Linked DNA regions of Neodiprion lecontei. The protein of the gene in region 4 purifies or fractionates together with the protein of the main gene of each other region. This does not show direct contact. Links are inferred from orthologs where the notes say so. Each region holds a gene or a part of one and is shown on either strand. Other genes may lie near its edges.

What was found.
Region 1: the proteins of dnaJ homolog subfamily C member 7 (region 4) and BAG family molecular chaperone regulator 2 purify together in Homo sapiens (affinity purification with mass spectrometry; 7 studies listed by BioGRID and IntAct, with this or other methods). This does not show direct contact. The link is inferred for Neodiprion lecontei from reciprocal best matches to the Homo sapiens genes DNAJC7 and BAG2.
Region 2: the proteins of dnaJ homolog subfamily C member 7 (region 4) and protein KIAA0100 purify together in Homo sapiens (co-immunoprecipitation; 3 studies listed by BioGRID and IntAct, counting the BioPlex papers as one, with this or other methods). This does not show direct contact. The link is inferred for Neodiprion lecontei from reciprocal best matches to the Homo sapiens genes DNAJC7 and BLTP2.
Region 3: the proteins of dnaJ homolog subfamily C member 7 (region 4) and E3 ubiquitin-protein ligase CHIP purify together in Homo sapiens (affinity purification with mass spectrometry; 3 studies listed by BioGRID and IntAct, with this or other methods). This does not show direct contact. The link is inferred for Neodiprion lecontei from reciprocal best matches to the Homo sapiens genes DNAJC7 and STUB1.

Annotation. Positions count from the first base shown.
Region 1 is NC_060264.1:8,008,237-8,015,244, reverse strand, and holds BAG family molecular chaperone regulator 2, read left to right. Parts: upstream 1-2,609; 5' UTR 2,610-2,846; coding exon 2,847-3,012; intron 3,013-3,329; coding exon 3,330-3,442; intron 3,443-4,050; coding exon 4,051-4,275; 3' UTR 4,276-4,848; downstream 4,849-7,008. Other genes in the region: receptor expression-enhancing protein 5, read right to left, coding at 220-452, 1,232-1,358. UniProt on the Homo sapiens protein: Co-chaperone for HSP70 and HSC70 chaperone proteins. Acts as a nucleotide-exchange factor (NEF) promoting the release of ADP from the HSP70 and HSC70 proteins thereby triggering client/substrate protein release.
Region 2 is NC_060264.1:2,172,305-2,179,535, reverse strand, and holds the start of protein KIAA0100, read right to left. Parts: upstream 4,767-7,231; 5' UTR 4,664-4,766; intron 4,592-4,663; 5' UTR 4,552-4,591; coding exon 4,493-4,551; intron 4,401-4,492; coding exon 4,274-4,400; intron 4,180-4,273; coding exon 3,988-4,179; intron 3,894-3,987; coding exon 3,642-3,893; intron 3,567-3,641; coding exon 3,405-3,566; intron 3,322-3,404; coding exon 3,109-3,321; intron 3,050-3,108; coding exon 2,782-3,049; intron 2,721-2,781; coding exon 2,498-2,720; intron 2,426-2,497; coding exon 2,307-2,425; intron 2,240-2,306; coding exon 1,919-2,239; intron 1,805-1,918; coding exon 1,371-1,804; intron 1,298-1,370; coding exon 1-1,297. Other genes in the region: SPRY domain-containing SOCS box protein 3, read left to right, coding at 5,462-5,570, 5,895-6,085, 6,169-6,397, 6,469-6,696, 6,775-6,977. UniProt on the Homo sapiens protein: Tube-forming lipid transport protein which binds to phosphatidylinositols and affects phosphatidylinositol-4,5-bisphosphate (PtdIns-4,5-P2) distribution.
Region 3 is NC_060262.1:16,937,920-16,945,110, reverse strand, and holds the start of E3 ubiquitin-protein ligase CHIP, read left to right. Parts: upstream 1-2,623; 5' UTR 2,624-2,636; coding exon of another isoform or gene 2,637-2,657; 5' UTR 2,658-2,777; coding exon 2,778-2,894; exon of another isoform or gene 2,895-2,908; coding exon of another isoform or gene 2,909-2,947; intron 2,948-3,502; coding exon 3,503-3,701; intron 3,702-7,191. UniProt on the Homo sapiens protein: E3 ubiquitin-protein ligase which targets misfolded chaperone substrates towards proteasomal degradation.
Region 4 is NC_060261.1:11,734,634-11,745,185, reverse strand, and holds dnaJ homolog subfamily C member 7, read right to left. Parts: upstream 7,375-10,552; 5' UTR 7,212-7,374; coding exon 7,126-7,211; intron 6,135-7,125; coding exon 5,977-6,134; intron 5,880-5,976; coding exon 5,755-5,879; intron 5,376-5,754; coding exon 5,187-5,375; intron 5,093-5,186; coding exon 4,974-5,092; intron 4,680-4,973; coding exon 4,526-4,679; intron 4,350-4,525; coding exon 4,185-4,349; intron 4,004-4,184; coding exon 3,838-4,003; intron 3,735-3,837; coding exon 3,588-3,734; intron 3,501-3,587; coding exon 3,348-3,500; intron 3,080-3,347; coding exon 2,973-3,079; 3' UTR 1,275-2,972; downstream 1-1,274. Other genes in the region: protein ecdysoneless, read right to left, coding at 9,404-9,854. UniProt on the Homo sapiens protein: Acts as a co-chaperone regulating the molecular chaperones HSP70 and HSP90 in folding of steroid receptors, such as the glucocorticoid receptor and the progesterone receptor.

The DNA.
Region 1 (7,008 bases), on a different chromosome or scaffold from region 4:
TTGTATTTTTGAAAAAACCAAAGAAAAAAAGAATAAAGATTGATATGTTACCTCGATTATGAATTATCAAAGAAATTTCAATGTTTATTAATCTCAAAAACTAAAAAGTTGATCCTTGAATAATAGAATGAAAAGAACTGGATCTATAAACTGGTATTGAGCAAAGCTTATGTTCTTTTCATGAAGGCACAACTGTGTAATAAATTTTGATCTGCTTACCTTGATTAGCCAGTAAATTGGAAGCCAAAATACGATATAATCAGCAAAAAATTCGATGATGGTGAAAACTGCAAATACAACCCAGTAAGTTAGCCATTTTGTATCGTCATCTTTTTGGGGACTTTCCAGAGCTTTCATGGAGCAATAAGCCGGGTACAAGAATCCGATAATATTGCAGACCAACTGCTGGCCTATCCCCACTACCAAATAAACTGCGAGAAATCCCACAGATGCTGAAAAAACCAATGGTAAAATAATTCTACTACTAGAAGTAACAAATTCTAACATTTGCATACTATTATTCGTGATAAATACAGCGAGGAAACGATGTGGATTAACGGGTTAGAGATTTTAAAGGTAAGTAATTTCGTTAATAAGTAGTTAGGCAATTACCATATTTAATTACTGTGAAGAAATCTTTTTCGGATAGATTATTATGAAACAAATTCCGTTCACTATCCATACTTTCAACACTTTCTTTACGAGCCACACCTGCCATTGCGGATGTAGTCTGATAAATTACAAGTTGGAAATGTAGCCAATCTTGTAATTTTGTTGACAGTACTTATCTTGACAAATGAGGTAAGCTAGTGAATTCATGATAACAGTTTATCTGGCTTAGTAGTCGTGATGAATGGCCAGCTTCTATTAAATAATTTTGAAGTAAATGAAGGCAAGGAGTGTGTCATGTACATACGTGGAATTTGTGCTTTAATCAACTTGCGGTCATTTTGCAAATCGGTTAAGATTGTGTTAACGTTAACTTATCTGGAATCGAAATGCTGTCTGGAGAAAAATCAAGACCACGTTTACTGCGTGTATAAAAACTTAAATAAGGTTGATCAACAATTGATGTTTGCACGAAGTAAGAACGAAACCCGAGTTAGTAAATTGGGGCCGAAGGATAATAAAACTGAAAATGGAAAGATTGTTACATAAAGGAATGACGGGCAAAATAAGTGTTCAAAGTGCAAAATTCATGACAGAATGCGTGATAGGTAACCTAACTTACCTAGAAAAATGTAAAGCCGGTCTATCCCGATCTTTTGTTCAGCAATTGCGAAAACATTTGTCCACGGTTTGCTTTCATCTCGCAATGCTTTATCCAACGATTCTTTTATCACTGCTATTCTGGCCATTTTTGTTTACAGGAATCTGTACACCTGCTTTCAATATAAAAACCAAAGCGTCAATCGCCGTCAGCGGGTTGATACTCAATGCCACTCAATGCTTTAGTATAGGAATCTTATTCGACACCTATTGCGACACATTACCACCTGAATCGAGCTGGGTGATGAAATAACTAAAGATTAGTAAAACTTCTGAGTTTTCCCCCACGTTTGTTGGTAATACAATTTTTTTCGCAGCGCACTCTTGAGAGATAAAAGTAAATAAATTTTCATTGTTTGCTGTTATTAAAATCAGTCCTACCACTCTTACTAGCAATTTCCTTTTCAACATTTATTTTTGTCGCTGTGGTAATAAAATATCATAAGTTTTCAACGTAGTTTTCAATTGGTTTTCAAATAAAAAAGTGGAAGGGGAAACTTGTGTCAACCCGCTTATTACCATCGAAGGTCTTTTACCGCCGCTTCGTCTTTTTTGGGCTAGCCTTAGATGTAGCTGGATCTTACCACCGGCAGGGCTACATACCGGAGAATGACAATAGTAAACGGCAACTTGACAACAGCCTGAAATCACCATACAACATCACATAACACAACTGGACCAATGTAATGAAAATATACACCATATATATTTATAATATGCCGACTACATTTGATTTATCGATTCTCAATACAGCCGTTCAGTGTGCAGATTTGTTATAGCACTACGTAATAGATTACCGGCGGAGTTTGCGAATGCGGCTGGTTGTCGTTTGACGTAAATGCAAATCTCGTACACAGCTGAGCCGGCACGATTCTTAAATTCTCAATATTTTCGAATAGGTTTACATGCAAAGCATAGACTTATAATTCTACTTATATGAAGCAAAGTATATATACTTTGTTCGTATCAATTGCGTGCCATTTTATGCGCCAGCTCTGCGCCTGTCATTTTAACAATTTTGGCGGGATATTCGCATAATTTGTATACAATGTGTAATATACATACTAACAGCAACTATCATGCGTTGACTGATATCATGTGTATTCACGTCCGTTTCTCCATTTATTATCCATAAAATTTTTACAATCACAGCTGCAGTCGGCTGCATTTTTGACCGTACATAAATAATAACACCTCTTATTTTCTGCATAAGCATGCACAGCAGCCGACGTACCGCCTTCCGTTAGATCGGACCAATGAAAGACATTTTCTACTCGATACGCCAATGCGCCACATACCAGTGTCGCACTCAGCAGTTGGTACCGAACTTTCGCGATGTTTCCCATCGAAAAATTATACATACATATAGGTGCTGAGTACCGATTGATTGTCAGATCCACGAAGGCTGTCAGATCCAAAGGAAATGAATTATCACTCGTAACGTGTTGTTCCACCGGGTCGTAAAATTGTGAAACACTATTTTTTCGGAAGTTTTAATAGACGTTAATTGGAATTACGGTAAAAGTGTCGTCTCGAAGTAATTACGAGTGGGAGATAATAGCCAGTTTGCAGAAATCATGGACAACAAACAGAGAGATAGGTTAGTCAGTATCCTCGATCAGGTCGAGGCTCGTGTTGAGGAGTTGAGAAGAGAAGCGTGGGAGCTTGAGGAAAAGAAAGAGAACTTATTAAGCACGTTGGACGCGCTTCAAAACAACGAAAGTGTATTTGAATTAGTGACCGGTAAGTTTGGATCGAGTTCGGTAAGTTCGATCCATTTAAATCCGTTGACAACAACTATGAACAGAAAATTCTAGAGGTTAACGGAAACAACAGGAATCCCCGAGTTCACGTTGCTACGAAATAATGAGATAACAACACGTAGTAAAGAATTTTTCCAAAATTTCCTACTGCTGTAATAGAAAAAGACAAACCTGTAAACAAAATTGTGTTTTCACCGTGAATTGTGAAATATTGCTATGATTCTTTCTATTTCATATCTAACACCATTATCCACAATCACTTTTAATCAATTATTTTTTTATTCTATAACCGAGTAGAGGAGAGAGAAGAAATCATGAGATCGGTGGAGAGGTTGTGGGTGCGGACCTCGACAGTTGAAATCCTCATTGAAACTCAGCGAAATACAGATCAAGAAGAATCTCTGCACAAGGTAGGAAAGACTTTTTTATGATTGATGTTTTGCTGAATGAAAATCATTATACGTAACCATTAAACATCCTATTTTATCTATGTTTTTCCACGTAATTACGCAGTTATTTTATTTGTTTATATTTATATTTTTGTAACACAATTACTTTTTTAATTAGTGAGTAGGTAATTAATTTCCATAATAAAATAGATGTAACAGACCACTGGCTTGATAGTGGTTGACCACTGGGTGGCCAGCTAACGTAATCGTCACTTTTTGATGGCTTGCATCAAGACCAACACTGCCTGCTTATATGTCAATAATTGATTATATTACTAGGGTGGTAGAAAATTTAATATGTGGTAATAGTTTATAATACTAGAATAGGATTTTTCATATCTTGAGAGACGTACGATTTCAAAACCGTTGTTAAGGCATTTGCTGTAGCATGAATTGCTGGTGATGAATATTCGATATAGCTAACATATTTAGTGAAATTTAAAATGATTTATTCGGATATTCTACATCGAATTATTTATAATTGATAATTAACCAGTGAAAACTATTCGTCACAATTTTTTAGTCCGTAGTATATCTGATCCGATCTGACGTCGTATGTTTTGTTACAGGTAAATGATTTGATCGACAGCTTGGTCATCCAATTGCAAGAAGATCCCCAGGCTACACGAGAGCGATGTAGGAGGTTCATGAGTGCTTGTACTTCCCATGGTCCGGAATATTCAGAACAAGTTTTCGAGTCTGCCATTTTAGGTTGTACTTTAGATGATCAAAAGCGTATCAAAAAAAGACTGCAGGGGCTGCTAGATTACATTAGTAAGATGCATACAATATAATTTTAACGAATATACGTTTAAGAGCTTATTGAGAAGATTTCTCTTTACTTTGACTTTCGAGCAATCATATTATATACCATCATGGTCTTTAACATAGTATATTATTAGAGTTCCATAGCAAAGAAGCAACATTTTCAATGAAACATTGCAGATATCATTTCCTCATAATTGATCAACCAGATTGCAGGTGTTCCTCAATTTCCTAGAGAACAAGCTAAACGACAATGAAGAGAAAAGTTCGAATTTCATATTTACGATTGTAGATAAAAAGCAACTCTGATAACACATAGCTAACGTATAGAGCATGAAAATATGAATTACCATTCAGCTACATTAGAGGAAGAAATCAAATTTAATCTAAATCGAAAGTTTGGTCTGTTTGCTGTCAGTCCGTTTTCTGTACTTATTTATTACATGTAATGTGAAAAAGAAAAACTACCCAATGATAATTCCTAATTTAATTCAAATACTTGATATTACACCACGACAAATTAAAACATATTAAAGAGTTTGTAATACTTTTGATCTGTTGAATAATAGGCACAATCGTCTGCAACGCACGTATTAAAAGATTTTTTTTTAAATTGCGACTTCCAGAGAAAACGGAATTATTTTTTTATTCAAATATAAATAGAATAATTCTTGAATAGAATAATACTGTTTTTCTAATCGATTAAATTAAAATCAAATTCAAACCTGGTGCGAGAAATATAGAACCTGTTCCTTATATTTTTACAATTGGTCGCAACTGTTATACTATAAAAGTTGTATCATCAATTGTTAGCTTAGGTATACATGTGTGATAAAAGGTTAAAAAAAATTCGTGAAAAAAATTACTTCGTCATAATCTATAAATTGATTGCGACTAAATCAAATTTATTTCGACTGATAAGACGTCATAGAAAATGACGATTATTTCAAGACAATGTAATGTCTCTTGTTATTATTAAAAGCTGTTATACAATTGGGAAGACTATCGAGAGTCATCAAGTCTTGTTACATTGTGTTCTAGCATAAAAGCCTTATTTTTTTATCAAATTCCTAATAACATATGTAATTTTTATCCTGTAATCTTATAATAAAAGCGTAGCACTGGGCTGCACTCTATGTGATAGAGTACGAACATTTTTTCTTTTTTATACGGATATGTTTCACAGACATAGTTGACCTGCTATTTATAATCCGTATACATTATATGTATATAGTATATGTATATTGTGTAAAAATCATGTCTATTGTCATTGCTGTGATAATGGACATTCATGTGGAATACAAACATCGAAAAGACAGAAAAGAATGTACGTTTATCAATATGCCTTTTCCACAAAAATATTCATTGGTCGTAACGACACACATATATAGGTATAAATCGGACCTTAAACATCAAATTGTCTCCAATAAATGTGTCAAGCTGCCATTCCTATATAATTTTCCCGGTATTATTATATAATACACATATACATGTATACGTATAAGCGCAATGTGTTTCAATCGTGTCTAAATAAAAATTTATGCCGAAACGTAAAATTCATTGCAATGGTAATTTTCTACGCTGAGTAATTTGTATTCTTTGTTCAGGCAAATACCGCATCTTCGTCACAAAGTTACCCAATCATCAATTTTGTCAATTCTTTCATTAGTCTTATCAATTTTACAACATATCTAAAAGGCCGTAATTTTATTACACAATACAGCTAACGCGTTTTTGATAGTAAAAATGTCTTTAGCCCCAATAATTTATAACCACGTATCTTGGTTTTCAGACATGAATTTGCATATTCACCACTGTAATCGCTGTAATAAAATGATAAATTCATCGTGGAATACGTATTGTGCGGGCTCCAATGTGTACGACGAGTTTCGACTAATTGTAAGTTACACAAGCACGCAACGCTGTACATACTTGCGTACAAACATACGTATAGTATTTTTTATTTTTTCAATTTTTTTTATCATGTATACTCAAGTTGTTACGCGTAACTCACAGGTGTCTGGTGATGCCTGCGAGGTATTACAGGTATATAACATACTTACCTATATATATAGGTACACTTATACTCGGTCATTGGCTCTTCCGCAAGGCCTTGTAAAAGGTGAAGGCCACCCGTCGGACAACAGAAAAATACGTGTACTCGAGATTGCAGTTCCCTTCATACTTTACGTGTGCGCTTAACACTAATATCGTTATTTGTTATTGCATTCTGAAATTTTTTTTTTTCGTATCGTGCATCGTCCAAGTATACGAAACTCGATTTCCGGCTCTTCTACGGCGCTGGTCGCGACTGCATTCACGTAAGGAGATTCACTACCGAATATATACTATGCATTTCATAATGTACACTATATTTTTTTCTTATCCTCGGCAACGGTTAAGCTCATACGTCTGTTCAATACATAATGCACACGACAAGCACCCGTTATACCTATAACGCAATTTTGACGATAATTACGTTCTAATGATTGACAGGTAAGTTTCTGTTTCATCATTCTCTTTCTTTTCTCTATGCGATAAGTAACTCTTTGTTTATTGTATTTGGTTAATTATTTCGGCGTAGGTACACACATCCATCCTTCTAATTCATTTTCATATGACTACCGTATGCGGACAGCGTTTTTTCATTCTTTACATATTTTCTTCTCATGCGATTCATTAAATTGGTGTATAAACGAAAAAACCAATTGATTCGCAGCCTGTCGCATTATTGCCAACGATTGTTCTCGATATTCATTATA
Region 2 (7,231 bases), on a different chromosome or scaffold from region 4:
AGAGTGGTCCTTTTCGCGTTGGTCTGGTAGCTCCTGATAGTATGAATTTCAAACTTTCAAACCATCGTAAGGTGCTTCCATACAGCAACGCAATAGGAGCACTGGTTGAAGTTGGGGAACCGGTTGGTTTCGTTTCTAAAGCAAGACTGACATTCAAATTCTGGGACCTGAAAGCTCTGAACGAATCATGTTCCTGATTGCTAGAATACTCTGGTAGCCTGTCTGGAGCGCAGGGTATAGCAGCGTGGTGATCACGAGGATCCCCCAAGCAAACCCATGCCAATTTGACGCTCATCCTGACATTAGGCAAGTGCAAAAGCCGACAGTCGTCGTATTTGCTTGCAGTTCTAACGCAGACGTCCAAGTCACCCTTGATTATTATTCTTCCCAGAGTCCAATCCAACTCCAATCCTGTCCAAGTCAATTCCATCTCTTCGGTCGTATTATACGGATCTAGGGAGGCATGCAGCAATATAGTCAATTGTTTAACGCACAGCGTTAATCTGCCGTGAAAAGAAAGCCTCATCTTGTCCCAGAACGGAAGTGGCGGACTCGGATCTCTCGAGGGATGAATGATCTTTTCGAAGCTCAGATTACACTGAGCAATTACAGGCTCCCAGCAAGGTCCAAAGGCGTATCTGAATTTATCAATGTCCCAGTTTAAGTCATGGTAGTATTTCAGAGACGTCATGCCTCGCTCTACTACTATATCGTCCCAGGGAGCTCCGACTTCAATTCTAACTGTTCTCCTTGCTCGAGGTGGTGCCAAGGCCTCGGCTCCAGCTAATCTACCCCAAATGCTTAGACCCTCGACTAACAACAGTGGTTGCGGGAAATCACGTAACTGTAGCTTCCATTCTGTGCATTTGACAGAGACCCCTCTCACCCACAATGTGCTAAATTCAAGACCGTCCTCGGGCCAAGGAGATTCAGGGTCCATTTCTCTTAATGCCTTGACCGCTTTTTCTGTTCCGTGAATCGTCGGATCAGCTAATATTATTATTTCCAAATCTTGCATAGTCCAGGCACAGAGCCGCGTTCTTACAGGACCAGCTCGCTGCATTTGTTTCCATCTTTGAACGTATATTTCCGCATTCTTTTTGTTTAAACTGGCGTAGAGCTCGTCTACTTTACCTTGAGGAAGGAGCAAATGCGCTCTACACAACTCTTGTACTTTGGAGTCTAACATTGCTTGTCGCTTCAAACTTTCTTTGTACTCGTCTTCAAGAAGTTCGTAATTGTCTCGTAGGCGAACTTCGAAAGGATCATCTCTTACTTCAAATAACCATTCCTTGATCTGAAAATAAATTGCTTGTCTTAATACCGTTTACATTAGCAATATATAAATTCTAATAATGGAAGATGCTAACTTTGATCACTAGGTCATTCGGCAATTGCTTTTCCGCCATAGATTCTCGTGCATGAATTTGGTCAAGCCATTTTCGGATGCTCATCAGTTCATTTTGTATGGCATTTGTGTACTGATGTTCGTAAGGAAAACAAGCTTTACACGATTCTATGTAAAGGCCCCATGTCGTGTTCCAGTCCAAGTCAAAGCCCTCGTTATTCGCTCTTTCTAATCTGACTTCCTCACTTTCAGAAATTCGGATAAGCTCCACGCCTTCGACTGTCAATATATCTGCCCTATCCAGCGCAGCTCTCAAGTAATTAAACCTCCATTCACCCGCAGTCCAACGAAGCTCATCCAAAGATAACTCAAGGAAATGCCTTGGCGATATCACAATTGACAAGGTAATACCACCAGTAGCTAATAAATCCATAGATCGCTTTGTTTTTACGGAGTCTGTAGCAAATAATTTAGGGATGGTTTAATTGTCATATTTCCAGTTACGAAAACTAGTTATACAAAATACAGGATTTCTTGATCTGCAATTTCAACATTATCCACCTTTCTCACCTGTAGTTAAAGTTTCGCCCTGTTTTGTGAATGCTATCATTCTAAAATCTGCAGCTTCGTGCCAAAGCTGCAGTAGTCTAAGATGCAGGTTGGGACTCCAAGCCAAGCTGGATCCATCCAAGCTGAGATTAATACTACCGTTTGTAATGGCTCCTTTGCACTTCCTGAGGGCTAAGAAAGGACTTGAAAGAGCTTGCGCACGTTCACATAAGATTGGTTTATCTTTGTCTAGCGTTATAGCACATACACCTTCGGCAACAGCTATAAAATGATCGGAATTGTGTTCCAGACTCGAGGAATCCATGCGCACCATCACAGATACTGAAATAATTATATAGTCAACGATAGCCAACAGTTATTACTTATTCAAGAATATTTAGCTGCTCACATTCATTCTCAGCTATGAAAAACAAATTGCAATTTCTCATTTTCAGGTTGAACTGAATCTCATCTTGTTTTGGGATGTTTGACTGCCTGTGCATTAATGTCCTTCGCTGGTTGTAATACCTGAAAATACATTTCGTTAAAAATATACCAAAAATACTCTGAACATGAATTTTGTAGACTGCAATCACTTACTTGAAGCTTTGCTCTAAGAATCTTGCAAGCTTGGGGCTCCATTCTGCCCTCAGTTCGTCAAGAAATACTCCGACAGCATTTGGACGCGTTGTTGCTAGAAATACTCCAACATATAACGGGCTTCCCCATCGATGAGAAGTTCCTGGAGCACCTTCGTCTTCACTGTCTAGAGTCCACCTTAGAGATTCGACGGACAACTCTGTGTTCCACCCCATGGTCTTGTCTAAATGGCGATGAAGCATCAAAGTAGTGCGTTTTTCAACATTTTACCATTCAAATATTACCTGCTATTCTATCCAACGAAAGTTTCACGTGAGATAAACCACACGATGCTTCTTGACTGTCAGGTAATTTAATGAATAAATTTCCACCATACAGATCGGTTATAGCTCGTATTCCAGGCCAAGAGAAATTCTTGTTTGACGTCAAGTCGACGTCTGGCTTTGACATATCATAGCTACTGCTGAGTAACACTGTGTCCCAATCGGCATAGTCAAAAGTCACGGAGAGATTATGTAGCTGGGTCGCTATCCGTAAAACATCTTCTTCCAACTATTTTCATAAATAATTATTAGTTCTCTGGAATACTTTTAAAGCGTGTTGCTATTTACCCTAGAATCTATTGACAGTGTTTGCAGAGTTAAGACTGGCTGCTTTCCACGAATCGATAGTCCATCCAATTTCACAGCTAAGTACAATTGCGGACCTGCTGGTTGGAATCTGGCATTCACATGCAGTCCTTTCATCATTCCCTCGAGGCCAACTCGCCCTCCATCTTCTCTCCCAGCAATCACTGAAGAACTCCCCATTTTCACAGTCAAATTCTAAAAGTTGAAGTTTCAGGTAAATGTGTCGCATGGCAATTAATACTAAGTAGCAATAAATTTTTGACATATTCTTTACATACTTTAGGTATCATTGGAGCCAATCGAGCTAGCAGTGGTCCAGTGAAACGATCAAGTGCTTTGCTAGACTGCTCAGTGGGCGTCAAAGTTTTTCTATCTTTGAAAAATTGTAGAAGACCTGCCCCCCCAGACCCCTCGGTTTGAGTCACGCCTATGTATAGTTTCTGTGGAGAAGAATGTATTCAATGTAGATATTTTACACATTTCAGCTTCACTGGCTGACATGTCATGAAACGAACCTCCACAGACAGTTCCCCCTGTGCCTTTAACGTTGCCTCAATGTTCCCTGCGAAGCTGATCTGTGCCAGACAAGCATCAGATGCGTGTCGCAATAATTTCATCGCCCCACCAGCAACAGCAGCAGATGCAAGAAGAGTCCGTGTCCCGTGAACAACACTACCATCCAAACTTAGACTCTCCGCACTCCCATTGGCCAACCAACCATTCCCTAGGGCTAGAAGACTCAGGTTTTCGACGTGAACAGCCATGAACTGAATGAAGAGAATTGTTTTCGTACATTACGAATTGAATTGAGTAAATTACAAATCAGATTATTGTATTATTGCCAGCTATGCCCTAGAATACCTGTACAAACGTGATAATGATCGGCGGTATTTTCTTGTTTCTAAAATCGAGTGGTTTGTTATAATCTTTCTTTGGATAAGAAGGTTGAACCGGGACATCTTTGTTGATACGGACGTCGCGCATTACAACGGCCAGCAGCTTAGCAACATCGCTGCTGAATAAGCTGCTTCGTACAGTAATTTCTTCGATTTGCTGAAAGATGTATTAACAAGACAGTAGAAAAGTCCTAAATAGAGGACATATGGGTATTTTGAAAATTCCTCCATCAGTCATTACATGCACGTACCACAGTAAACCCATTTTTGGTAACAGTAACATCTCGCAGTATGAAGTAGGGCAGGGAAATGTGGCCGACTCTAAGGTGAATTTTGTAACGACGTTTTACGAGCCATGCCAGTAGTCTCGGTATCACCCTAAGCATGAGACAGTGAATTTGAAAGTGCACGTTGTACGACAAGTGAAAAAAACAAAGTCAAAATTTTTTAAAAATATAGAAGAATCTTACCATGTAAAATTGCAGTAGAGAAAGAGACAGATGAGAATAAACGCGAGTAGCCCCGTCATTTTGAAAATTTTAATATAACAGTAGCATTTGGGTGTTACGCTGCCAATTATAATCGTTGTGTAATAAATTATTTACATGTAATTCTAACCTATGTACATATGTTATACATACAATACTTCAGTCTTTCGAAATTGTACATAGGCGCTTAGTCAGCCCGTAGCCGATGGTTAACTCATATCAGTAATAAACGATTTAATTTCGTGTGGCAAGTTTGGTCACCGAAAAAATTAATCGTCATGTCTTAAGCCACTCGTGATAGCAGAGGCCCAATTAATGAAATTCGATTATAAAAAGGATAAAAAGTATCTACGAAAAATCTGACGTAGGCGTGCGTGAATGACAGCTACGAACCCCACCTGATCTGACCGATGTAAAAAAAACTGACCTATCTTTACGGAAACTATAAAATGGACATGGTCGATGAGTCATTGATTATCATTAAATTCCATTTTATCTATCGTGGTTAAAAACTGTCGAGAAATAACAAACAAGAAGTCGCGTAAACACCGTATTTATTTATTTCACTTTCGTACCGGTTCGTATCGCTCGTAAAAATCCCCTACGCGTATATTCGTCACTGACAGATGCGTGGAATCAACGACCTTGCCGAATGCCACAAGTCAAGTTTTACCACGCAAAAACCGTAATGGCCTGTTGGTTTAAGTCACACGCTAGTTTCTCGCTGCCCAAACTACAAGGAGGATAAACAAGTGATACCCCAGCGTCTTCGCATCGAAAAGAGTAGGTATTAAGCTCGTATTCGGATAGTTTTATCTGGCGATACTGTAACGCAATTAAGGTTAGGATATTTTTAGATTAGGTTAGGCGGACCGGCCAACGCTGCACAGCTGATTGCGAATAAGTTTGCATACATCTTCTTCATCGGGTTTTCACCCTCATAGTTTCTGAATGTACTTTATTGACTGCAAAATGCGTGACGATTTGGATGCTTTACTTGTGACGCCGGGGGAACGATACTGTGATTGCAAAGAGGACTGTCTATGTGGCGAGCAAAATGGTATTTATTCGCTTGTGATTCATATTTTCAGAACGATCTGACTACATTTATTTCAAATATTAAATTCAAAAATTTACAGTGAGTTTTTTCGTCGGCGTAAAATGTAATTTAACCCTTTCGGCCCGAGCGGTGTCTATAGTGACCAAACGCCCGACGCTCGCTCTGTCTGAGCGGTGACTATAGTCACCCAACGCCTGACGCTCGCTCTGTACGAGCGATGACTGTACGCTTGCCGCGACTGCTCAGTCAGTAGGGACGGCGCGACGTAGAATGTGTCCGTACCGAAAGGGTTAAGCAACTATCTTGCTTATTTTTTCTTCCTAGAGATAGAATGGCAGTGGGACGAGAAATATGCCAGCAAGACTTTGCGCCTTTCAAAAATGAACCTAGAGGTGAATTTCAACCCCGGCTACAGCATGGGAACCTCGGCTGTTCGAGGTAACAAATTAATGGCCAGTGGAAGACATCATTATTGGGAGGTCAAAATGATTACCCAAGTTTACGGAACTGACATTGTGAGCGTTAAATCTGTTCTCAAAGAATCGCTCCGTTTATGGTACAGACTTAACAAGACTTATTGCTTCCTTTGCTTCCATAGATGATAGGCGTCGGCACAAGCAAAGTAAACTTAGAAAGTTCTGGTCTCACTTTTACTTCATTACTTGGTCTGGACTCGGAGTCTTGGGGTTTTTCGTACAAAGGAGATATTCAGCATCGGGGACAGAAGCAGAAGTACAGCCTGCCCTTTGCACAAGGTAGTCTTGTCGGAGTTCATCTGGATACATGGAGAGGAACATTGGAGTTTTATTTGAATAGAAAACCACTTGGTAAATAATATAATGCTTTGAATGAGTAATCTTTTAGTTCCGAATCTACAGAGCATGTTTTCCTGTGCCAGGAATCGCTTTCACTGGACTTAGAGGCTTAGAATTATATCCAATGATCAGTTCCACAGCTGCACAAAGCAAAATACGCATAACGCACAGCAGCTCAATCCCAGTGACATTACAACTTGAGTGCTTAGCTGCCCTGAAACCCTCGCTCCGAACTATGCTACTAGAGGGTTTTCCTGGTCTCCGCCATCTCACGACTAGCATTTTCGCTAATATACTGCAAAGCAGTTACAGTAAGATTCGTAATAAATTTTCTAATATTTGACCACATCAGGCCTTACTCCAAGAATATAAAGCTTACTTTATTTCAGACAAGGACGAAGATGAATTATCGGAAGATTTTAATATTTTGGATGAATTCGATGTTGCGGTAGTAGGTTTTAAGAAGAGTAGACGAAGCTTGACCCAAGACGATGGCAGTATGCCTGGCACTGCGAGACGTGAATGTGAAATGTGTGGGAATACGACTTCTGTTCTATTTGCTCTACCTCTATGTACGATATGCTGCGACTGAGACCATTGCGCTAATGATAGGTTGTAGCGTGAACGTGCGATAGTATCGCACAGCAGGTTTTCTCATCTTTTAAATCAGGTGAGCCAGGCTGTTATACTTATTCTAATTTCGACGATATGTAAACAAAAGTTTTTGCATTAAACTTATTTCATGTTGTAAAGTTGATGTATATTCATGTCTTTATTTATATTTCCGGTGTTTTGATTTTAATACTTTCAAGTAAATATGTATATAAAAAAATGTATGTATATGTA
Region 3 (7,191 bases), on a different chromosome or scaffold from region 4:
CTTTTCGGATTATTCAAGATGATCAAAATTTTTAATCACACTATTCCATTTCATCAGATTCGACCATTCACTTTTAACATTTTTGGGTATAGTGAGATGGCGCCGACACATGGTTGTAAGAGAACAGAAGAGGACCCATGTATTTGTATGTGTCCTTATAAGATAAGGAGGGGAGGGTACGAATTCTCTGCCAAAGTATATTTTTATCGACAAGTACTAATCATGTTATGGATTCTGCATTGAAAAAGCGAAACAACCAAATGAACACGCTTATATTTTACAGGATAAGCCGTCGTAACCGTTGGACGGACGCAATGTCACATGCCGCGAGGATATCTTCATGGAGTGGTGAACTATGTTCAAATTACATTACTTCGCAAAGGATGTTAGAAACTCCCATCAACCGGGAGAAGGAACTGTTTCGCACAACCCGCAGCTTCATAGTTACCTCGAATCTCAGATACTATTTCCTTGCATTTAATATTTCAGAGGGTATAAAAATAATCCTCAACGTCGATGTCAACAATTGTTTCATATATCCATAGTAACATGAATAAAGTGTTCCAATATTATGTATAATCATTTTTTGAAACCCTTTTCACTAGTAAAATAGCTTCGAACATAAAATTATTTCATTGTTGTCAGTAGAGTTGTGTGTAACAAGTGATGTACAATTTCAGAATGATTCCGAAACAGTAATACCCCGAAGTTACGCTATGGGTCGTTCCGGCATTCACGGCGTAAGTCGAAAAAAACGTAAGTCGGGGTGCACGTTTTATACAACTGTATAATGTACATATATATATATATATATATATATGTATAAATACTCACCAGAGATAATCATGTATATACCTCATAGAAAACCTCTGAAGAAGAATGAAAAATACTCTTTATTTTGGAAATGCAAAATGTTCGAGCACAGTCGTCTGCCGACACAAAGATTTTTTTTTCTCGCGCACAGTCACTATCCGTAGACTGAGCGAATAATCGAATACAATGTAATGCACTGACGGAAAATAAACATGACCATTCAAGTTTGCGACAAGGAGAAGCGGAGTTGGGCGGGGGGGGGGGGGGGGGGGGGGCGACCGATGGCGTAACTTCATAAAACGAGACCACAACGATTCGTACCCGTTTTGTTTCAATCGTATTTTTCGAACATATTTCCAAATATTTACAAATGGTGAATGGTGATATTTATGAAATCATTTTGAAAATACTTCGTGCTGTGTAAAATTAATATTGCGCGATATGTTTTAATGTATATGGGACATTCTTTTACAACCAAACACCTTTGTGACCGACACATTTTTGATTCAGCTGAAATTTTTTTTGACGAGTTCTATACCGAAAAAATAGGGATACGTATTCGAGGATTTTTTATTTCACATATTTCGTAAAATAGAGGGGATCGAAAATTTGATAATTTGGTGTTTTTTGGCTTGGAAGACTCACTTTCAAAAATTCATAACGCCGGTTCTATTTGAGCTGGAAAGTTCGTTTTTTTCATCTCAAAGCTAATTAAATGAATTTTATTACAACAATTCTTTCATTAACGATTATTCCGATGTTTATACTGTTATAAACAATTAATATGTTCCGATCGATTTTTAAAAATTGGCTCAACCTCGTAGCGAGTTCTTAGCACAACCATCGTATTCTACGTCAAATTTTTTATCCATAACGTATTTTGAATTGATGGAGAATACGATGGTCGTGCTGAGAACTCGCTACGAGGTGAAGGCAATTGCTAAAAATCGATTTAAACATATTAATTATTTATAACAATATAAATTTCGGAATAATCGTAAATGAAACAATTGTTGCATTAAAATTCATTTTATAAGCTTTGGGTTCAAAAAACGAACTTTTCAGCTCAAACTGAACCGGCGTTATGAATTTTTGAAAGTGAGTCTTCCAAGCCAAAAAACACCAAATTATCAAATTTTCGATCCCCTCTATGTTACGAAATATGTAAAATAAAAAAATCCTCGAATACGTATCCCTATTTTTTCGATATAGAACCCGTGAAAAAATTTTAAGCTACATCAAAATTGTGTCGGTCGATTTTTATCTAAATCTCTCCGATTCGTCAAAGAATGTCCCATATTCAAGGGTGTTTCACGGAACAATAAATTGAATTTGCTATATTCAGCGTAAAACTATCAAAATAATCAGTTCGGTCGTGATGCAATCGCTACACACATGACGTCATCATTTGCATGCAAAATTCGGGTCAATCCTGTTGGTATGGTTACCGACTCAGATTCAGGCCTCTTACCGACCGTGTTTTGTCTAATATTGTGTTGCGCTACTCCCCGGTGGAGAGTACCACCTTCGAATGGTTTGGAACCGAGGAAACTTACGCAGAGGGCGCTTCGTTCGATTACAACTTTCAGATCCAGGTCAGCGGCACCATAAGATCACAAGAAGCCACGATCTACTTCATGAGCAGCGCTGCTGCTGCGTAAACTTACCAGACTGATGCTAGTGAAAACTTGTAAGTTACTAAACCACTGCTGCTTTTTACTGCTCATGAAATAGCACCCTTAAGCAACGGCGGCTGGGTGGAGCTGATAATGCTGATGGCCGTGACTTATGGTTTGTTACCGTGGTTTGTATGGATAACCAAAATGGAAGCGAACGTACTTGAGGTTATACAACAATGACAGATTTAATTCAAATCCAGTTTTATTTCCCTTAAAAGAACCGCGCATAGCACTATAGTGTATTAAAAATTGAGCATCTGCCCTATTTCTGACATATCGAGCGACATGAGTAAGATGTATTCAACAACTAACCTTTCTGATAAGGAGTTGAAAGAACAGGGGAACCGCTTGTTCAATTTGCACAAATATGAGGATGCAGCCAGTTGTTATACAAAAGCAATCGTAGGTATTGTTCGATGACTAAAAGCAAGAGATATTGGATTATTATATCACGTGTACGTATTTTCGTACGCCTTCATATTTAGAAGGATCCCACACACACCAGCTGATGATAACTATATATGACTAACTTTTGATGAACTGGTGTTCATAGCATTGATATAATAATACAATTGGAGAAAAAATTATTATTCCGTTGCTCTAGAATTGTCTAACATTAGATATATCATAATGAAGCGGAACGTGTTCATATTTTGCAAATTTAGCTACCATAAAATCATTCTGATCATAAGAGTGATTTTTTGTTCAGGGTTTTATTTTAATGTTGCAAACTTGAACCTTGTGACTTTTGAATACATGTGCAGTTTTGTATTAGTGGAATAACCTGATTTAGGATCAAGTGGATGACGAAGTTCTTATGCCACAGTTAATTGTGCGCTTTGTGCTGCGTGATGTGCAGAGGATTCTTCCAAAACATAGAGGTGTACAATAGTCACCACAAATGCTAACATTTTATCGTGACCATTGGTTCAGTTTTCGACTGGAGTCTCCACCTGAATGAAGGTTCACATCAGTGCTCAAAGACAATTATTCACTATATTTTGTTATAGATCAAAAATCCAACTCAAGCTACATATTTCACAAATCGTGCCTTGTGCCACCTCAAACTCAAACGATGGGACTCGTCCTGTCAAGACTGTCGAAGAGCTCTTGATATAGATCCCTGTCTAGTCAAGGGTCATTTTTTCCTAGGCCAAGCACTTCTTGAACTGGAACTATTTGACGAAGCTGTCAAGCATCTTCAGAGAGGTAACAGCTCATATTCGTTTTCAAAATTATGTACCCTAAGAATATTTAAATTATGATTGTTGAATTGAAGACTAAGCACAATTGACTAGCGTGTAAATGAACTCTTGAGCCATGCGTAATTTTTATCTCTAAAGATTCATGACTGTTACACAGAAATCGACCTATTATACATGTAGGTAATTGTACATCCCGAATCTTGCACAGTAAATTAACTTGCAGAGTCAATTAGCTATTCGGAAGCCTGTTTACTGAAACTATTTTAAAAAACTTAATCTCATAATAAATATTCCGTTCAGTACCTTCATCCTCCTTATAAAAACTGAAAAAAAAAATTACTGCAATCCTTTTTTTACGGCAATGTGTTCTGGTTGTGTCAACCCTTTGATGTACAAGATTTCCTTGTACGCTAGCCCGAGTTATATATTCCTACTGTACTTTTCTTTCCTCAGTTTTCAGTCGATTTTTTTTGAGCCTTATCATTATGTTTGCTAGATATGTCTACCTGATGTTTGGGATGTTTGCTATTTTCTGTAGATCTTGGACCACTTACAGATGGTCAATGGCTTATTTTTTACACAATTTCCCAGACTGTTGTTCGATATTATATCATAGGTTGTATGAGTCCATAATAAAGTTACTTCATCATATCATTTGCAATCTTGATTATGGTCGTGTAGTGATCCGTGGTCATCGTCTGCAATACCAACGAAGATCGAGTCACATAGAAGCGTACGGCTTATGGGCCGCTTGAAGCAAAACTTTCCACGACTCGTAAATCCGTAAGATGGCTCTACCGTCGGTCGACAGTAGAGAGTTAGCACGATCACCCCAACTCGCCAGTCGGAGCCAACACACCGACACTGTTCGCATTAGTATAGAGCGCTGTACGTGAGCCACACAAGCAAAGGCGCCACTAGCGACACCTAGCTGTTGGGGGGATAGCTCGTCCGAGCACCCCAACTTTTCTTGCTTCAAATAGCCTGCAGGCCGTACGCTTCTATGGGACTCAATCTTCGTTGGTAATACTGCTGCTGTTATTTCTTTGGTATTGTCTCTTTTAACATACAGGGTGAGTCAGTTAAAACGGCCAGAATGGGAGGAGCTCAGTTGACGGATCAGGCCATACCCCTTAGCGAATCTGGAGCGAGTCAATTGAAATACCGAGAATGGGAGGAGCTTTGTTGACGGATTAGGCCATAGCCCGCGTGTTGATATCAAAGTAAAGTTTGCAGTCTGCGTACAGGTATTCAGTGGTAATACGAAATAAAGTCACGATATGACACCAAGTGAGGGAATAAACTCTTATTATGATCCGTCACTTGTTGTCATATCGTTACTTTATTTCGTATTACCACTGAATATCTGTACGCAGACTGCAAACTTTACTTTGATATCAACACGCGGGCTACGGCCTAATCCGTCAACAAAGCTCCTCCCATTCTCGGTGTTTCAATTGATTCGCTCCAAATTGGCTAAGAGGTACGGCCTGATCCGTCAACTGAGCTCCTCCCATTCTGGCCGTTTTAACTGACTCACCCTGTATATGTGATCTATACATGTACTGCTTGTTTCAGTCTCGTGTATTGGTGTAATAACCGCTGATGTGTATCCATGCTCAAGCACCATGTTTCAGTAATCTTCCTTCCTTCCCAGATCTCGCTGTTTTTGCAGATTTATATGTCTGCTAGCTGGTGGCTCAAGGCTACAAAAAATTGAGAAAATCTGAATAAATTCATGTAGTTTAAAGAATCCTCGGTCAGTCAGCGATGTTCTGGGACACCTACTGAATATGTAAAAATGATGAGTAGCGTGCAAAATCTTAGGAAAAGCTGAAAATTTGTATACTGGTGTATTGAAGCATTAGGGATACACATCCACTTGTTAGTCACTCTAATTCCGGGACCCGACCTATTCAGTCAGCATTTTGATGATGCCCGAAAATAGGCTACACCCTAGGTAGCATGCATACAGGTTACAGTGCAAGGCATGGAACATGCTCACATTCCCCCGGGCGTTTATCCAAAGTAATTTAATACTTACAGAAGCAGCATAAGTAGTTTGGTGTAACAAGCGGTATTAGTAATAACGGTCAATAAATATATAAAGAATTTTAAGAATATTGAAAATCCATTTATCAATTTAAAAACCATTCAAGGCGGCTGCGATACATTTACACCTCTCTCTCTCTCTTTAATTCTTTCTCTTTAAACAACGGTACCGATTTTATTGAACGATAACCAAAAAACGAGATATCTTATAATTGTTATAGAAATAATATGCATTTTGTGTGAATAGAGTTTAGATTAACTGCAGTAGAACCAGACTGTTTGAAGTAGTAGAACTTACATTGACTGCTCTTTATAACCACCAACGTTTAGGTTACTTCGTCTCATTCGTTATAATTTTGTGAGTAAGATTTTGTTCATTTAATGTCTTGTAGATAACACTGTACTAAAAATAAATATTACAAGGAAATCTTACAACACGAATACCTGGCACGTTGTCTGCTTTCGCGCATCATCAAAATGCTGACTGACTAAGCCCTATCCTGGCATCAAACGAACTAGCTAGTGTATGTGCATGCGTGATGTTTCAATACACCAGTATACCAATTTTCAGCCTCTCCTCGGATTTTGCACTGGACCGATCATTTTTGCATATTCACTAGATAACATGGTCAGGTATCCTATAATCTCGCTAACTGACTAAGGATTGTTAACATATACACCGAGATTCAGCTGCATACATATTTTCAAATTTTCTCAATTTTTTTTGTAGCTCTGATTCACCAGCTCTCCGACTACTACATATTGACGATGTTTGTGTTGACATTCTTTGCCTGGATTGCTTTGGCAATGTTGCAAATTACTCTTCTCAAGTTGTAATTTAGCGACTGGTATACTGACTATTTTGATCTCGTTATTTTTTATACATTTTACTTTAGCAATGAGCATCTGGCATCTTTTTGTTGTTTATAAATGTCACTTCTTAAGCTTTGTGATCATTGGTTAAAAAATTTTATTTGCGTTACCATAATCTGTTATTTTCTACAGGAAATAATCAATTTTGTCACAATAAAATTTCATGGTGGATTCTTTTATAGCATTAAGCGAGATCTTCATCACTTTGTTTTCGTTGATGCCTACAATGACAGCTTCTTCTATTTGCTGCACACTATCTAGGCTTTTGATCATTTGTACCATGTATGCTTTATTATTTTCGAGTTAATATTGCCTCTTCCAACGCCTTGTCTGGTGCGCTTGTCAGTGTCACTGTCATTTTCTCAGTCTCTGAGCATATTTCTCTTACATCATTGACCTACATATGTTTTATACTTTTATACTTGTCTCACTGTACTTGAGTTCTTTTCCAATGTACGTGATATGATGCAGTTTTTTGCATTGTCCTGTACATAAGATATATTCTTGAATAATTTGTACCTCATGTTAGTTATTGGTTTCTGCTTACAATTCGAATCTGGATGACTACT
Region 4 (10,552 bases):
GTCTCACGAGACTTACAAGGAAAGTATTTTTATTGATCAGTGTGGTTTGAGAGCAAATTTTATGAAAAATTGTTTTCCAAAACTACACAACAACTTGTAAACCAATATTTTTCAACACTATTGTACAAAACTTATTACGCTATTTTTTCAGAATTATATACACAAATGTAAACATTAGAAATCCATAACAAAAAACCTGGTACTTAATAGATTAAGGATGTCTTACAACCTCGAGAACAAAATAGTGATAAGCTGGTTATAAACTATAATCAGAAATCTGTATACCTCATGCATATTTGAAAATGACAATATTGAATGCACAATGTAATGTAATTCATAGTCTCAAAAATGTAATAAACTTGATTTTGAAAAACTATATTTAATAAAATCGTTTGATATTTATTACTACATATTATTTTTACGGCTGAACGGCCCTAAAATTTTCTGTCGGAAAGCGATTTTTCGATGCGGATTCTCACCAACTTGATGGGAACTCAAAATAACTCCCAAATACGGTAGAATCGACAGCTGCGATAATACCTCAAGAAGATTCGTTTTTCATCTGTAACTTTTCCGCAATTGATAACTGTGAGTTGAAACTGCGCGCAATCGACTAATCTCGATACATTACATCGGATTAAGGTTTAACTATATTTATTTAAACTTTCTCCCGTTGCAACCGATTTTTAGAACCCTACTACGACTGGACTGTGTACCCTCAGGAATTCAAAAAAGATAACCACATCGTAAGATCAACAACTGCGAAAATACAACGAAATTTTTCTGTTTTTCGACAGTAACTTTGGAAGCCTTAATTGCGTTTTCTCTAATGTCTACATACTATATAAAACATTGACTCCTGATTTAGAAGATAGTCCAGAATAAATTTTGCATGACCTAAAGAAATTTCTCAGTGGTAGAAATGAAGCTGGCTCTTCGGACTGATTCAAACTATGGGTACCCAAAATGTACCTTGGCTAGGATGTCGTAGAATCGTTGCTGAGAAAATACTACCAGTTTTCAGGGTTCAGCTTACTGCAGTAAATCAAGACGAAAATCCACGAGAATTTCATAATTATTACCTTTACTGATAGATAAGTTGAATCAGTTGATTTCATTTCCAATGAAAGACAACAGAGACCCTGTTTTATAATTTTTCAACTATATATGTTGCAACGACGAAAAGAAATCAGCACAGGAGTACAATATTGTATTATTTAATGCATGTAACATGAGATCAAGTTAAAACAACATATCATTATAGACATACAATATATGTTAAGTCATAGTTTTATTTTCTTACGAGTATACATAATGCAGTCTGAGGTGTAAGTGGGTCCAAGGCCTACTTCATGAAGATACTCTTTACCTTCATTCCGATAATCTCAACTCTTACATTGAAACATCTGATATCATCGAACATCTACTCCACAGAAAACATTACTTTCTAAATTTGATTAAATATATATTTTAAATTATAATCGATGGCGATAGGAATATTTCAACACGTTGCTTATGTCAGCATTACAGTTTTTCTGGTCACATCGTATTCATCAGCAATAATTATACCGAAAAAAAATAGTAGAAAACCAAAAATAAAATAGAGCTGTACAAATTTGTAAAGAATCGTCCCTATCACACAATATATAACTGTAAAGATAACAGTTTTTCAAATATTCATGGGTTATTAATTTCAGTTTTAGTATATAATTAATCCAGGGTAACTGACTTAGCGCAATACAAGGCAAGATGATATTTTTTTCTTTTTGCCTTGACATGCCTTGATTAGTATAGCATTGAGTAAATATGTGCTAAACTTTCACTCATCATAAGGAGGAAAATTGTAGCATGGAATCTTTTGTAAAACACTGAGATAAATCACTGTGATTCAGACTAGTAAAGTTTGCATGCATCGGTTGGATTTTTTAATATCAATGATCCATGCTACAGTCATACGATTATGCTAATGATATAAATATATTCGATGGTTACTGCCACGTCATTGTATTTCATACCATAATAGAACGTTTCAACACACGTTTACATGATTTAATAAGGCAAAGAACAATAATGGAAGAGTTATTGAATATTCGTTCAACATTTCGACTGTTGGTCACTGTATCTCCAAGCCTGCAGCTTATCAGAAATTGAAAGTCTCATCTTCAATTGCGCTTTTGATAAAACTAACAATCAGCTACAAAAATTAGTGCAGCAAATTTTCATATCAAGTAAACGTTTAGTAGACTTATTTTCATTCATCTTATAAAGTGATGTAACATAATGAAACGAAGAAGAATAATATTTCCGTTACCAATTGAATGCAAGTTGCATCACGCTATTTGGCAAACGGAAAAATAAAGTATATGTGATAAATTGCTATATTCAATTTGCTCAGATTTTCATGAAATACGGAAGAAAATAAAATTATATATTGTAATATTTGTGATTGTTCGGTCCTGTCAGATAATGAATTTCTTCTGGTTGAGAAGAATTGACAGAAACATCTATTCATCATGTTAATGTAATGATCAAAATATTCAGGTCAAAACCGAGAGATTTGCCGTGTCGAAAAATCAACTTTTCCTCACTTGTAAACGAACAGTTAATATTTTCATCAGAATGCTAATTGTCAACTGAACATATTTTTTTATCACTTAACATGCTGAGAAAAAATGGATTTTACACTAATTTCTTCAAATTTCTGCAAATAAGAGGAAATTTTGTACGTCGGAAACCTTAATTTGATAGGTATAATTGAAGACATTTTATTCTGTCACATAAACAGAAGAAAAAAACATTCAGAGAAAAAATATGAAAATTTAATAACTAGTCAGATATCTGAGCAAGCTACTTTCGTCAAATTGAACGATACAGAAACCCAAAGATCAAATGGATATGATTTTATATACAGAGGTACATTTCATCTCATGACGTACACATATCTATTATATAGCAGTAGTACTGAAATAGAATTAACCAAAGTGGGCAGTAAAACCGTGGGGCATACTGCCTGCTTGGAACTGATAGCCACCACCATGATGTCCAAAGAAGGATTGGAACATTGCATTTGGATCCATTTCTGCAATAAAAAAAATTACGTGTTAGCATAACTGTTGTGTTATAGGGATATACAGGGTCTTTCATTTTAATCGCCCCAGGCCGATTACTCTGAAACTATGCAAGATACGAAAAAATATTTCCTGCAAAACATTTATCGTTCGAAGATGAAAGTGTCAGTTTTATCGTAAGCAGAATTGCCAAGGTCAGATGAAAGTCAATTTAGTTTTTTTTTTTTTTAATGGAATAGTATAATTTTTTTGTCAGTGTCAGAAAAGTCAAATACTCACCGTATATTCCACCCTCCATATCTTCCAAGTCATGACCGTTGTCATATCGCGCACGTTTCTTGGGATCTGAAAGAATGCCGTACGCCTCGCCAACTTCTTTGAACTTTTTCTCCTGTTCTTTTTTCTCGCCTTCAGAAGCATTCGCGTGTTTATCTATAAAATTTGAAACTCATTATGAAAAAATCATCTGTCAAATGATGTGGTTCAATCGCCAAAAATTAAAATGACGGTATATATTACCTGGGTGATGTACCATGGCTCTCTTTCTATATGCTTTCTTGATATCGTCGGTTGACGCATTTTTGTCAATGCCAAGAATTTTGTAGTAGTCTTTTCTCTTGGATTTTTTCAATGCAAGCTTGGCTTCCTGCAGCAATCTTTTGTTATCTAAAATTAAGATTCGACAAGTTAAAAATCTAATTCAAGGAAAATTATGCTGTGTTTCTAGCAAAAATTGATTTTTCTTGTAGGCTATCTAATTTCACGGTACCTCTGCTCTTGTCCATTTTACATGCTTGTTCGTAATCACGAACAGCCTCTTCAAAATCTCCAAGTTCCATGTAGCAGGCGGCTCGTTTAAGTAAAGCTTTAAGGTAACTTTCATCGAGCTTCAGTGCTTCGGTACACTCTTCTAAAGATTCTCTGAATTTTCTTAGCTGGAAACATATTTATCGTAAAATCATATGGGAATAAACCACGTCATTGATGGCAAAAGTGGCAGTAAGCTGATGAATTACAATGCAATGCAAAAAGGAAGTACAGCTTTTACAAAAAATTATACATTCCGCCTAAGCAAATATTCAAATTTATATGTTTGGATAAAAACTGTGTGTTTACCTTGGCATATATCAATGCTTTATTGAAGTGTAATTTAGCATTGGCTAATATGTTCTGAGGATCTATGGTTAAGGCTTGGGTATACAGATCGAATGCCTCGGCATATTTTTCCATTTTAAACGCAGTGTTACCGTCTTCTTTTTTCTGTTTTAAAGATTTCGCTCTCTGAAATATGACAAGAATTGAAGAAGTATTATAATCATTAATATTGTTTTCAAGATGTTGTAACGATAAGAGAGAAAAGTTTCAAGGCATAAGAGATTTAAGAATATTTCATGACTTCATTTGTGTAAGTACAAACCTACGATATGGTTGAAACTGTAGTTGGATTTTGATGTTACCTTGTAAATCTCCATCGCCTTAGTATGATCAGGTGCTAATCGAAGAACTTGTTGAAAATGCATAAATGCTCGATCTATGTTGTCTTGGTAGTAAAGACACATGCCGCGTACATAAATTGCATCTACGTTCTGTTTGTTAATGTGTAAAACATCGCTAAAACAGACAAAACATGATTAACCCACCGTGTGAACACTTGATTTTTTACACCTTTTGTCCATACACTTTTTCAAACTGTTCTACGCTTTCAAGAAATCGGTAAAACTTCAGGGTTTCTTCTCAAAGCGTTAACTATATTATTCAAAAGTTGGCAGACTCAAAAGTTTTCAAGTATTGTTCACAAAAATTAATATTCAGAAAACGACTGCTCCCTAAAAGACTCTGTGTTCACACGCAGGGTTAAAACGGTGAAGGATACCAAAACTAAAACAATCAATAAATATAACAAACTTGGATATTTCCTGTGCCTCTTGAAATCTGCCTAGAAATGCCAAGCATTCTGCTTTGCGGAGCTTGAATGTCACACAAGAGGTGCTCACATCACAACAGCGGTCCATGCAATATACAACCTGTAATAAATGTGAATAAATTTTGAACATTTTCATATAGAGCATTGATTTTGTTGTCAGATCTCGTCAAACTTCTATAATAAATGAATCTTACTTTACGAAAATCTTTTTTTCCATAAGCCACTTCTGCTTCTTGTAAATATTTCTCAAGGTGTTCCAAGTTTTTTTTCTCCGAGAGAATAGCACTGTTACTGGGATCCAGCTCCAACACCTTTTCCATGGCTGCTCTAGCTCCGATGTTATCGCCGACAATCAGAGAGCATTTCATAACTCGTGGATAAGCCTTTAAGAATACTATACATGTCACAAATATTTCAGAATTTTTTAGGGTGATCAAAAGTTATGAACAAAGAGAAAAGACTGTTGAAAAAATCTGCAGCAATATTAATTGTCAATGATAGTGAACTCAAATGAAACAACATCCATACCATGTGATAAAAATGATTCTGTACAAATTCGAATAATACCAACTGAGATATTTACAATTTGAGAAAAGGATGATGTTTCATTCTTGTTCACCATCGTGGCATAAAAAGTATTGCTGGAGATTTTTCAGACGAATTTTTCTTTCTACCTAACTTTTGATTCATACCTTGGGTCTCATTAATCTTTAATAAATGAGTCTCTTTGTTGCGGATTTCATAGTGTTTAGACTTATATACCTTTACAAATCCTGGATCAATGGCGATGCATTTCTTAGCATCTGCCAAGGCGTCGTGATATTTACCCAGCATCATATAACACGCAGCGCGGTTTCCATAGTACGCTGGTGAATTGGGACATAGCTCTGTAAAATTATTGTTCAGTTGAATAATTGATCACAAAATGAATTCTTCACGTTCAGAACAAACGCTTTTCCATTGTTATTATTCATAGACACCTACCGATTACTTCAGTATAAACTGCTAAGGCCTCTGCGTATTTCTTGGTTTTGTAAAGTTGATTGCCAGTTTCTTTCTTCATTTCTGCCAATCTGAAAATAGAAGAAATATATAGGTACCTAGAATGTTTATTATCCATCTTCCGTGCCTTTATCTGAACACTAAAATAATAGCAAAATATTTTTCAAATTTTTCATGTATGTATGTCAGAAAATGAAAGACAGCATATTAAAAATAAAAATTCAGCAAAAATTTTAACCAACATTTGAAAGATGATTTGATGGATTACTCTAAACTTTATTAACGACAAATTATAAGTAAATATCACATATATATGAGAAGTGAACCTTTTGCACAGATAACAAGCAGATCTTGGGAAACAACAGATGTTACATAGACACTAATTGTCTTAAAGAAAACTATCAAGAGCTTACAAAATAAAATTGAGTCGTAATATCACTAGTCAGTGCCCAGAGAATTGAATTACGTCGAGCGATTACTGGAAAAGTATGAGACCCAACAAAAAAAATACAACAGACTTCCATTATATGACCAATACTATAAATTTAATTAACTTGGAGACTATGGCCAATAAAAGTGGGCATCACAATAAGGCTGACGTTAGTAATATCATTGCAACAAAATATAAAGCAGTGAAAAAATCATTATAGCACAATTTGAGAATGACTTTCAAGGAATTTATACAAATATATTTTATTTATCATGGTTTGTTAAGAGAAATTGGATAATCCTAAAGATATGAAGAATCGTTGCCTAAATATGCATCATTACATTAATATTACCAACTTCATCCTCCATCCATGAACCATATGATTAGTGTTCTTGATTGTGATACCGATTGAGGTTTTAGATAAGAATTAATGTACTTGATATGAATGAACTATGTGCAAAGAAAATATTGCATCATTGTGGCCTGGAGGTCATATAAACGCTGCTTTCTGTAGCTAAGCATGCTTGTCGATGAAACAATGTGTGATCAAAAATGTCGACGAGGGTTTAAAAATCTGAAAAGAAGTTGTTAACCACTAAGTTAGGAATCGAAGGGAATTTGCATGGCTGTCAAAAACACAAGTTGCAGCGAGTTGTGATTTTTCGGAGCTCTAGAAGCGTATCTGGGATATAACAACTCACTCTTCAGTGGTAAAGGGTTGTATTTCTTCAATAGGATCAGGATCATCGATGGGGTCCCATTCTTCATCGTTCAGTTGTTCAGCCATATTTTATTTATTTGCAAGCAACTTGAGTACTAAAAGTTATTCGATCACCACAAGTTAGATGATTTATAAATTATAAACGACTTTTAGATCTAATGCGAAGAAAACCGTAACTCTGCAGGGCAAGACTGACAGAACAGAATGTATGGAATGTCCCGTGGTTCCCGAACATCAAGATGGTCTTTGAGCTAAGATTTATGCCCGTTTTTACTTCCAGCATCTACAGACATGACTTTGAACTATGTATGAATTTGTCGTTCCTAAATTCTAATCGTTATTTTTAGCATGTCGACGTACGTCTGGTTAATATTTTTGAAGTCTATGGTATGAGTTTTGCATGTATTGCCGACGCATCTGGTAATATTCCTGCGGCTTTCGAACTCCAGTAACATTCGTATTAAGATTTTTATCCGAGGCGTTCCAAGAAAGTAATTTATGAATATGTAATTAAACAACTAAAACACCTAACATAGTTCTCGAAATTCCATTCCCTAGCATAGCCATTTGAAAGAAGAAGAAGAAGAGATCTGGTAATATTGATGAATAATGGAGTATGAACAAATTTATTTGTGCAATTGCACGTTCGATTTACTATTCAAATTCAAATTCGCAGATTTCTATGTAGATATGCAATTGAATATTCTATTTATAATTATTTTAACTACTTTGTCATAATTTATAGATTGACATATATACAACTGTTTTTATAATCGTAAATGAAAATTTTCCGAGCTCTGAAAATCGCAAAATAGCAAGGATTTTTTCAGTCTATATCCGGCCGATTTTGAAAAATAGGCAACTTAATTCTTGGATACGCTAAATCGACGTGATTATGCGAGAGAAATCGATTGCGCGCACTACAAATACGTTGTGAGCAACGTCTCAAGAGTTACAACCGAAAAATGAAAAGTTTCCTTCGTAATTTCTCTGCTGTTGGTCCAGCGGACGTTATGTTTTTTCTGCATTCATGAGGGACCAATTAGTCTGTCAAGGATCATAGAAATCGATACTAAGACTAAAAATATTTCGCTTTATAAAAGTAAGGCCCCCATTGTATTTTTGGTGAAAATATTGAAGATTTTGGATGATGCTGGAATCAATTATTTGATACATTATATCAACGTAATTTTGAGAAAGGAATCAATTGGGCGCAATCCGAATTAAAGAGTGACAATCGAAAAATGTAAGATTTTCTTGATTGTTAGGCACGGGCTATGTGGTAAAAAATATCAATCGTTTCAAACGATCGTACTATCGATCGTTTCAATTCCTTAGTATCGAACAATCCATGTTCTTCTGTAAATATCGAAAAATAGATTGTTAATATCGATGGCGAAAACAGGCGCGAAAGTTAAAACATTTCTAACTATAATTGTAAAAAGAAAAATGATCGCGAAAATTTTTAATTATCATTATTGTTAATTAAGAATGTGTACAAAATATGAGAATTTAATATAAAGTAAATTATGGAAAGTTAAATATTTAAATACTCTAATTAACAGCGAGAAATTTCGTAGAAAATACAGATTTATTATCGACCTTACAATTAGTAATGTGTATTTACTTATTATAGATAAGTTGCTGACAGATGTTTGCACAGAAATTTAAATTACTTTCGGCTTGACGATATCGATAGTTCAATATTTTCCATAGACTTTAAAAAACATCGGTAGTCGAAACATCATGAATGTATGTCGCCCATTCCTATCGTATGTTGTCCGACATATCGCAAGGTGTTGTATACAAGTATTTATTTGTACATACGCATACGAATAGACGTGAGTGTTTGTAGTCCAAGCTTAATAATCCAACTTACGTTGGATCTTGTCGCGAAAGCAGGCGCATCCTTATGAGCTATGCAATTGGCGTATCGCCAAAACAACGAATTCAGTAAGTAAGTATAGGCGATTGCCGTTTATTAGACGAAGAAGGAATTCTCGCTCTCAAATGTTTACGATAATATTAATTTACAATTGCGTTTAATAGACGAAATATTTGGAAAGTTATAACAGAACTTTACTGCTAGTGTTGATAATACAAAAGATATAAAACGAGAATAAAAAAATAAAAATAGTGCAAGTCAATAGTTGCCAATTCACAATACATTGGCTAATACGATTGCTTTTCGTCCAAATATATTGGAGATAAGCTGACTACTGACGTCGTACTTAAAATTAATGATAATTGTGAAAAATTTAACTTTGTAAGTCAGGTGGAACAGTCGAGGGTGATTGCAGGTGTAAATGCAAGAGACGTCGAATGGGTCCGCCAAGAATATTTCCAACAGCTCCTGCACCTCCTGCTTCACCTTCTGCGCTTTCTTTTAAATTTAGCTCCATAGTCGAATCTTCAACGCAAGTGTCTGTATTAGATTTTTCTCGTAATCCGCTAAGGTGCAAATCCATTTCTAGTTGAGAGTCGAGCAGTCTCATGTACTTGTCCAATTCACCACCTTTATCCTCCTCGCTTCCACCCAACGAACCTTCCGAGTTGCTGTCGAAATCATTTTCATCTCCTGGCACAACAAGATCCAAGATTCCACGTAAAGCGGAATCAAATGCATCTGCATTGAAGTCTATCCTCGTATCATCGGCATCACCATTTGCTCTGATTTCGCTGTTATCGTCATTTGACTTGGACAGTTGGCTGAATCATAAATCATCACTATTGGCTATGCAACTCAGACCAGATCGAAGTCAAATTAAAGATGAATTGGTTAGACCGTCAGAATCAAAAGTTGGGATAGAGAATAAAACTGTTTTGCAAAATTTCCAGAGATGTTGCTCAAATCAATGATAGTAATCACGAATGAAACAACATCCCCACTGTATAATACAAAAGATTCCGAGCAAATTCAAATAGTTAAAGCTAAGATGTCAAGAATTTAAAAAGTTTTACACTTAGAAACGTTCCAAGAGCTTAAACTCTGATGTTTTTGATCAGATTCTAATGTTTTTCGGCTTAGTTCACTAACTAAATTATCACAAATTGTATGAGAAACATGCAAGAAATTTGTAATCAACCTATAGCTATAATGCACAAATGTAATTGCTGATGAAGGTCTGTTATACTTTAATGACAGTAGTCAGTAATATATTTTTATCCACTCTGCAGATAATGGTAAGTAGAAATTTTTAGGTGATCTATGGAAGTCTCTATGGTGAACAAAATGAGCCCATTAGCATTAGAATCGGATAAAGAACAAGAAAGTTCAATCATTTCAATCTTTCTAGTTATGAAAGCTTTTACTCCAATTATTGATAACTTATTATATAATAGATAATAGAATTGCTGTTCCACTCGTGTTCTTTATTTATTATTCATGCAAATAATATATTCATGGA